2 linked regions of the Mytilus edulis genome follow. The protein of the gene in region 2 interacts with the protein of the main gene of each other region in a biochemical or structural test. Links are inferred from orthologs where the notes say so. Each region holds a gene or a part of one and is shown on either strand. Other genes may lie near its edges. The genes, in order: ribosome maturation protein SBDS-like and elongation factor-like GTPase 1.

What was found.
Region 1: the proteins of elongation factor-like GTPase 1 (region 2) and ribosome maturation protein SBDS-like interact in a biophysical measurement, tested with the Homo sapiens proteins (2 studies listed by BioGRID and IntAct, with this or other methods). The link is inferred for Mytilus edulis from reciprocal best matches to the Homo sapiens genes EFL1 and SBDS.

The regions. Positions count from the first base shown.
Region 1 is NC_092349.1:35,117,574-35,121,511, forward strand, and holds the start of ribosome maturation protein SBDS-like, read left to right. Parts: upstream 1-782; 5' UTR 783-930; coding exon 931-1,058; intron 1,059-3,100; coding exon 3,101-3,230; intron 3,231-3,938. Other genes in the region: clathrin heavy chain 1-like, read right to left, coding at 556-609. UniProt on the Homo sapiens protein: Required for the assembly of mature ribosomes and ribosome biogenesis.
Region 2 is NC_092347.1:10,356,199-10,360,136, forward strand, and holds the start of elongation factor-like GTPase 1, read left to right. Parts: upstream 1-1,712; 5' UTR 1,713-2,017; intron 2,018-3,527; exon of another isoform or gene 3,528-3,938. UniProt on the Homo sapiens protein: GTPase involved in the biogenesis of the 60S ribosomal subunit and translational activation of ribosomes.

The sequences.
Region 1 (3,938 bases), on a different chromosome or scaffold from region 2:
AACATGCAAAACATGTTTAATGAGGGTTAATGTACAAATGATGTAGTATTGGGGATACCTTTATAACTATAAATCGGTTAACATTCTTGCAAATTATTGATTACAGTACTAGTTATTGTTTGTGCATGACGATAAAATGACACTCTCTTTAAAATTAAAAAAACAACAAATTTTGACAAATCATGTTATTTTTTTGAAGAATAAACGTAACATCAATTATTTGAGACCTCTGAAGAATCACGATAAGGACATTTTGACGAATCATAGTTCAATTTTAACCATTTTAACACTTAATAGGACTGTTATCGCCTGATGGTAATGGGCATTCTTACCCTCTTCAGACTTCAAATCAAAATATTCTTATTCTAATGACTGAACAAATGTGTGTTATAATTGTTTTAAAAATGTTAAATGATTTTGAGCATGCATGCCAGTTCACCCGCACTTGTTTCCAGTCATTGGTTAAGGCTCCCTCCTTCTATCTTCTCATGAAACAAGTGCCTGTGAAATATACAAGTGTAGTGACTGTAAACTGTACCTAAAAATAATTTATACCTGTATCAACTCATGAATAGATACTGGAGGTGTATTGTTGTTGTTGTTTGTCATTGTCAATCCACCATTATCGAAAAAATATAAACAAGATCCTTAACGAAATATGTGTTACATGTATCTCCTACATAGTTACATCTTTATCCTCAGCAACTTTTAATCCCTGATTCATCAACTGTCAATCATTTTCATTTGCGCACCTGCAGAGGAACTCTTTTGCGTTGAAATCACAAACGGTACAAAAAACAATAACTTCCGGTATTGCTGACAAGCATGTAAATGCTCATATTTGGCAATTTTTGGAAAAAGTTTAGTTCTTCGACGTGTCTTGACAGTTGCAATTAAAATCTTTGATCAGTCAAATTTCTAGATTGGAGAATGGCTGTTTTTCAGCCGACAGGACAGAAAAGATTGACCAATGTTGCAGTGGTGCGGATGAAAAAGGGAGGAAAAAGATTTGAAATAGCATGTTATCCAAACAAAGTATTGTCATGGAGAAATAAAGTGTAAGGCTTAATTTTGAATAGTCATTTGATAGAAATCTGTGATTGATTTTAATTACTTATAAAAAATTACAACCCCCCCCCCCCCCTTTTTATACTTCAGCTACCCATCCATGTCCAGTGCTCAATATTTAAACATGAATCCATGATAACTTTCCCAACTATCAAAAGCCCCAGTCCAATTTGCCCAAAATTTTTACCAGCTCGCCCCTCTTTCTAATAACCATACTAACTCGCCCCTCTCTCATGAAGAACTATAGTCCGAGATTATTTTGGGTGGGCAAATATCCACTTTTTCATATGGGACGAGCCCTGACGTCCCACGGCCCCAGCTTGTCTGGCAAAACAGCGGTTGGACGTCAGAGTAATCTCGGACTAATGAAGAACATGTACAAACCAATTCGCCCCACGTATGAATGTAGTAATGCCCTTTGACGAGGGTCTAATTGGGGTCTAAGAGTGACGTGGGATTACTGAATTTTTGTAAGCATGACATGGGAAAGTCAAATTATTGTGCCGTGAAAAAAAGTCTAGTGGGATATGGGAAATCACAAAACAAATAAAAATTTCTTACGTACATACTGTAGTGTAAGCGGGATATGGAAATCTTACAAAACAGTAAGCGGGATCAGGGATCAGAACCCCCCAATGAGACCCACTTTGATGTCAGGCGTCAAATGATCATTATCGGCTACTGTTCAGTCAGGGGACTTACTGAAATAAGTAGCAAATTCGAGGTTTTGTCACAAATTGGGATTTTGTAGTTTTTTCAAAATTTTAAACATATAGGTTTAAATAACATCTTTTAATTAGTAAAATTAAAAAATATGAACTTTTTGCTTCTTTTAAGTAGCAAGGTTTATGCCTTTGATGCTATCATTTACCTGAAAATTCTATTTTAGTTAAAAAATGCTATAATAATGGCTTTACATAATGAACTGATACTTTCTTAAAAGATTTTTCACAGCAGTGGGAGTATTTTTCCTGTGAAGTTCAAGGTTTCATCTTTCAGATTATGTAATAAAATTCTACTGTTCGCGATAAAAATTTCACTGTTCGGGGGTGTTGAAATTAGTGGGGAATATTAAAAGAATGATACTTAAAGAAGTGATTTTTGGGAAGGAAATTGAAGTCTGCTACTTAAACAAGTGATTTTTATGTCATTATCCTAGATTCAGTACAAGGTCATCACCTGAAATGACCTGGTCATCCTAGACAACACAGATGTTGGTTCTGATAAGTTTAGAAACATATTAAATTAGCCCCTGGATCATTAGTATTCTATATTTAAAGCAACACTAATATTAAATCACTTCTTCTAGTGATTAATTTGTACTACTTTTAAAAATAGGTGATTATTAAAGAAAGACAACTCTAACTTCCAACCTTTATGGAAATAATGTTACTTGAATCAGTGATTTAGAAAATCACTTGTTTAAGTAAGTCCCCTGACTGCTGTTTGCGTCATATATTGGTTAAAATTTTATTGTGATTAGTCAAAATATTTTTATCATGATTCATCAGAGGTCTCAAATATTGATATAAATATTGTTACTGTCATTTTTGGTGGATTTTTTATTGTTTATAAGAAAGTGTACATTTACATGAGCATGATGAGGCATAAAAAATTAACATGATTAACGTTAACGTTCTTCAGTGAAATTTTTTACTGTAATCAACCTGAAGGTACATTGTACCTCCATCATTTTTTGTCCATGAATACCCTCACTTATGAAATATAGTTAAACTCCAATTATTTTAGGCCTACACAAATGTATCAGCTGGCCCCAATACTGAAAAGTAGTTGAATTCTGATGAATGAACATGATGAAGGTCTGCCAACTGGCCCCATTTGAAAATATCTATATGCATCTCAAGTATATAAACATGGCTTGTATAAGTATTACCCCTAACTGTCAGATGTGGTTGTAATTCACACATGGCAATGCATATTTTTTTTGCCTACTTAGAAATATGCAATTAAAAATAATAAATATATCATCACCAAAATATATATATACATAATACATATATTTCAATTTCAGTGAAACAGACATTGATGAAGTTTTACAGACCCATACAGTGTTCACTAATGTTTCTAAAGGAGAAGTTGCTAAGTCTGATATACTGAAGAAAGCTTTCAGTAATGATAACCAACCAGAAATATGCCTACAGGTACTTATTGTAGATATAGCCAATTTCCAATACACCTTTCTTATTAACCTTCATCAGAAATGCTTAAACAAAAAAAAAACATAATATTTAAAAGCAGAGACTAAACAGGAATTATTTGTACCTCTTAGACATTATGTTATGCTCTAGGTCATTTGTAGGTCAAAAGTTATAGTAAGTTCAAATTGTTATGAACATGTATACTTAATTTCAAAAGATGTGACCATGACTGCATTGTAAACTATCTTTAACCAAAACTTGACCTTTCAATGCAATGAACTAATACATCATTATTACATTTCTTGTTTGGTGAACTGCAAAATTTAGAAAAATCCCTGATTTTTCTTTTGCTGAAATAATGTGCTACCTCAAATAAGCTTCAAATTATAAACACTGAAATACAATTGGAATGACATATTTGGAATACATTTGTAGTTTGGACATGGGGAATATATATGACAAAGAGACAACAACCTGACAAAAGCGCAGAAAACAGCTAAAGGCCACCAATGGGTTTTTAAGCAGTGAGAAAATCCCTCACCCAGAGCTGGGTTTCAGCAGTCCCAAAATAAAAATGTGAACTAGTTCAGTGAAAAAAAAGGATGTCATATTAAAATTCCACAACATGTAAATGAACTAAAATAAAAAAAATCACAAATGATTAAGACCAGAGGCTCCTGACTTGGACCAGATGCAAAAATGTGACAGGGT
Region 2 (3,938 bases):
GTGTTGAACAATTACTTTTTTTTTATCTGAGCGTCACTGATGAGTCGTATGTAGACAACACGCGCGTATGGTGTCTTAAATTATACGCCTGGTACATTTGATAAATAATTACCAGAAACAATCTTCAGAGCATTGTTAATAGTTCGTTCACATTGCCACTATTTGTGTCTGTCATCATTTCTATTATAGAATAGGAAGACAATTCACCATCTGTTCTGGGTTATTTAAAACTTTGTTACACACAAATATTGTTTGTAAATGCAAATACATGTTTAAAGATGAACGCAGTTGTCTGAGGAGATGACGCCCGTATGCATGAGAATTTGTGAACAAAAATTGTATGCATGATACAATCAAAAATAAAACAAAAAGATAATTCATCTTTCAAATAGTTCTCAGACAGAGTAAATTCTGACAACAAAATGACTGCACATTTATTAAAACTTCAGAATGAAGTTTTTTGTTTGTATTTAACGATATATTTTAAGACAAAGGTCCATTTTTGCCCGACTGACGATGTGAACTTTTGTCATCACTTTGTTTCCTTCATCGGTAAACTCTTCTTCAAAAATATTTTCGTCTGAAATTTCACAACGCGGATTGAAACCAAGGTTAAGCTGCTTCATCTTTATGATATCAGATATAAACTGTCTGATTTGCATCCAAATTATATTGAACAACTGATGGCCACTCTGGAAAACGCATACATCTAAGTGTTTTGGTTTTATGTCTTGTATATTTTAGAACATAGCGAAAATCCCTAACTGGGTAGGAATTTTCATCAAGACAAGTATTATGTACCTTGAACATTGAAAAAAAAATGTGTAGACCCATTTTGAGAAATTGCTTGATTTAGTTTTCTGAACTTTTTTGCAGTTCTTTAATTGCTACATCGGTATCTCGAAAGATATAGTAGCTAGTTTAAAAGTGTGAATTGCGAATTGCGAAAATCACCAGTTAAACAGGCTCTTTTTACCAGTACAATCATCGAAAGAAAAGGATCACCATAATCCGTTAAACTATAATTATCTTGAACATTATAGGAGTAAGATTAATGGTATACATTGCAAACATTCTCAGCATAACTTTTTACATATTTAATACCAATGAAATATCGATTTTAACTGTGTTTTAGTTTTGCATTTTTGTGTGAACGTTTCAAACTCTCGAATCTATAACAGAAAAGTTAAAGGTGTACAATAAAGGCAACAGTAGTATATCGGAATTCAAAATTCATAAATTGATTGAGAGAAAACAAATCCGCGTTACAAACTAAAACCACTCATATGGCAATGTTAAAAAAATTAACTACGTGACATAAAGCACAAACACACGTAAGAACACTCATTACAGAAACAGAAAACAGTCTCAATGTTATAAAATAACATAATAGTCGACACAACATGCAAACCGCAGAACAACCAATGCAAAATCTTCTATCAACGCCAGACACCACATGACGTCATAAACAGTAACGTAACGAACATGCAATCTCGAACTTTATACAACTATTTTCACAAAACCATTTCGAACAATTTTCATCACAGGGATCGTATTTTTTTGTTATACTAGTAGTTATTTAGACTAAAAACGATAAGAAATAACGCATTATCCAACGGGTAAAGATGAACATAACAAAAAATCAGTGTGTGCAATTTTAGGTAAGACTTTCATTTTGTTTTCACCATATGAGCATATTGTTTTAATCCACGTTTGATTCGTATAGACAACCAGCAAGTTGCACAATGAACTGAACAAATGCATTTGGACCAATTGTTTTTAAAAACACAGTAATTTTAATTTGCGCCTATTTAAAAGGAGACACCAAAGGAAATGTCTTAAAATAAGCTGTTTCCGTCTAAGAAATCTGGTAGAGTTTCCCCTGTGTAAGTCAGTGAGTACATACTCATTTCTCATACGAAACTGAAAGTAACATAAAGACATAACTCATCTCATGATTTAGTGGTCTCAACGGGGTTTTTTTTTCGGATACAATCAGCGACATTCAACTGCTATGGTATGTATTTAGTTGGTATTAAGACTAATAGCATGCGCGTATGTTCGTCTCAAAGTTTTTATGGGTGTTGGCGTTTGTTTTTGTTGCACTTCGGTGATCCTGTTGTTCCTTTGTTTTCCTCTTATAGTTGGTGGGTTTCTCTCGGGTTTTTTTTCGTAGTTCATTCCTATTGTATCAATTTCTAAGATACTATAATCAATGGGTCAGCCACATAACATATAAAATGATTATGATTTGTTCATGGCTGGCAAGAAAGTTTCATTTGACCTTGAATTTGTTTTCTCTGATCACCGATGTGTAAAATGATGTCTGTAGTGCGACATTTGCCATAAAGAAACTTCATCATCATCAGTTAAGAAATCGGTACAATCTTTGTAGAATGTTATCCAATGTACATTCAATTCTCTAACCTCCAATATTGATCACACCATATGAGGATTTTAGTCATACATTTTTCGAAAAAAATATAGTAAAAATAAAAACTCTGAGGAAAATTCTAAACGGAAAGTCCCTACTCAAATGGCAAAGTTCACATATATAGTTTGGTATCCAGCACATAGATACAAAATAACTTTTTTTTACTTGTGTGCAATTTGTAATTATCATGTATGGCCTTTTCATATAGGTTAATATGCTTGGTTTTTTTATTGTGTGTGTAGTGGACAACTAGTAACTAGAATCCAAGCAGTCATCAATGTCATGAATTATATCAGCTGAAACTGAGACCCATCTATAAGGTTTTTCTGAGTTCATTGCTCAATGCAATGGCAAAAGGTAAACTTTATTGAGTATGCATAATGATTTTAAGGCCCATGTACATGTTGGTTTGCCACAATTCGCTGAAATTGACCTAATGTGCATTGTAGGTTTGTTCAAAGAAAGGTTTCATCATAATGTCCATTTCTCAGATACTATTATTAGTAGGCTAGCAATGTTTCTGACATGGTTCATTTGACCTTGATGGCTTGACCTCCATTGATCAACGGTTTTTTTATAATTGTGTAGGGTTTAGTTCATTTAATATAAGCAAAAGGTTAGCTATATTAAGTATTGCAATATCTTCTGAATTGTTGACATCTCTCTTCAGCTCTTGATTCTCTGAAACCCTGAACAAATTGAATGAGTACATGTCTGTTTGACAAGGTTCATCTGATTATGGCCATGGTTTCATAGTCCATTGGTCATCCTATTGTTAATAGTATATGAGAAACAGACCAAGCTATAGAAAGTAAACACTGCCCAATAAACTGCTGATGAATTGATATCCTTGTCTTGTGGTGCAGATGAGACAACAATTACTAGCAACTAGGATCAACTAGGCAGAGCTAAGGTCTAGATGTAAATGTCACTGACTTTCTGCATTAGTTATCCCACATAAATGGGTTCAAGCAGCTGTTTAAAGGGTGATTATTCTAAAAATATAATTTCAAAATGGGAGTTTCCTACAATATACAGATGTTCTATGTAAAAACTAGAAAGTTCATTGATCTTAAAGGAACAAAAACAGCAGTGCATTTTTTTAAGAGTTTAATATCTACATATGATATATATACTGACATTTTATTTGTAAAGGATCATAAAATCAATAGGTTGTAAAAATACATAGGTGTTAATTAAAATTAATCTAGACAGATTGTTAATAAAAAAAATATACAAATGCTTTATCTTGTAAAATTATCACAAAAATAATATATAAATATTATCTAAAAATAATATAGCGAATGACTTAGAAAAAGCAGCTTGTATGTAAAAAAATGCAGCAATAATCATTTTGAAATTCAGGAATGTTTTTGTAATAATCTTAAAATATATCACTATCTCGAATTGATGTCATCTTTTTTGCTAAATGCAACAACTTGAACATGAGGAATGTTTATAAGATCAACAAACCACAAAAATAAACTTTTTCACAGCAGAACTT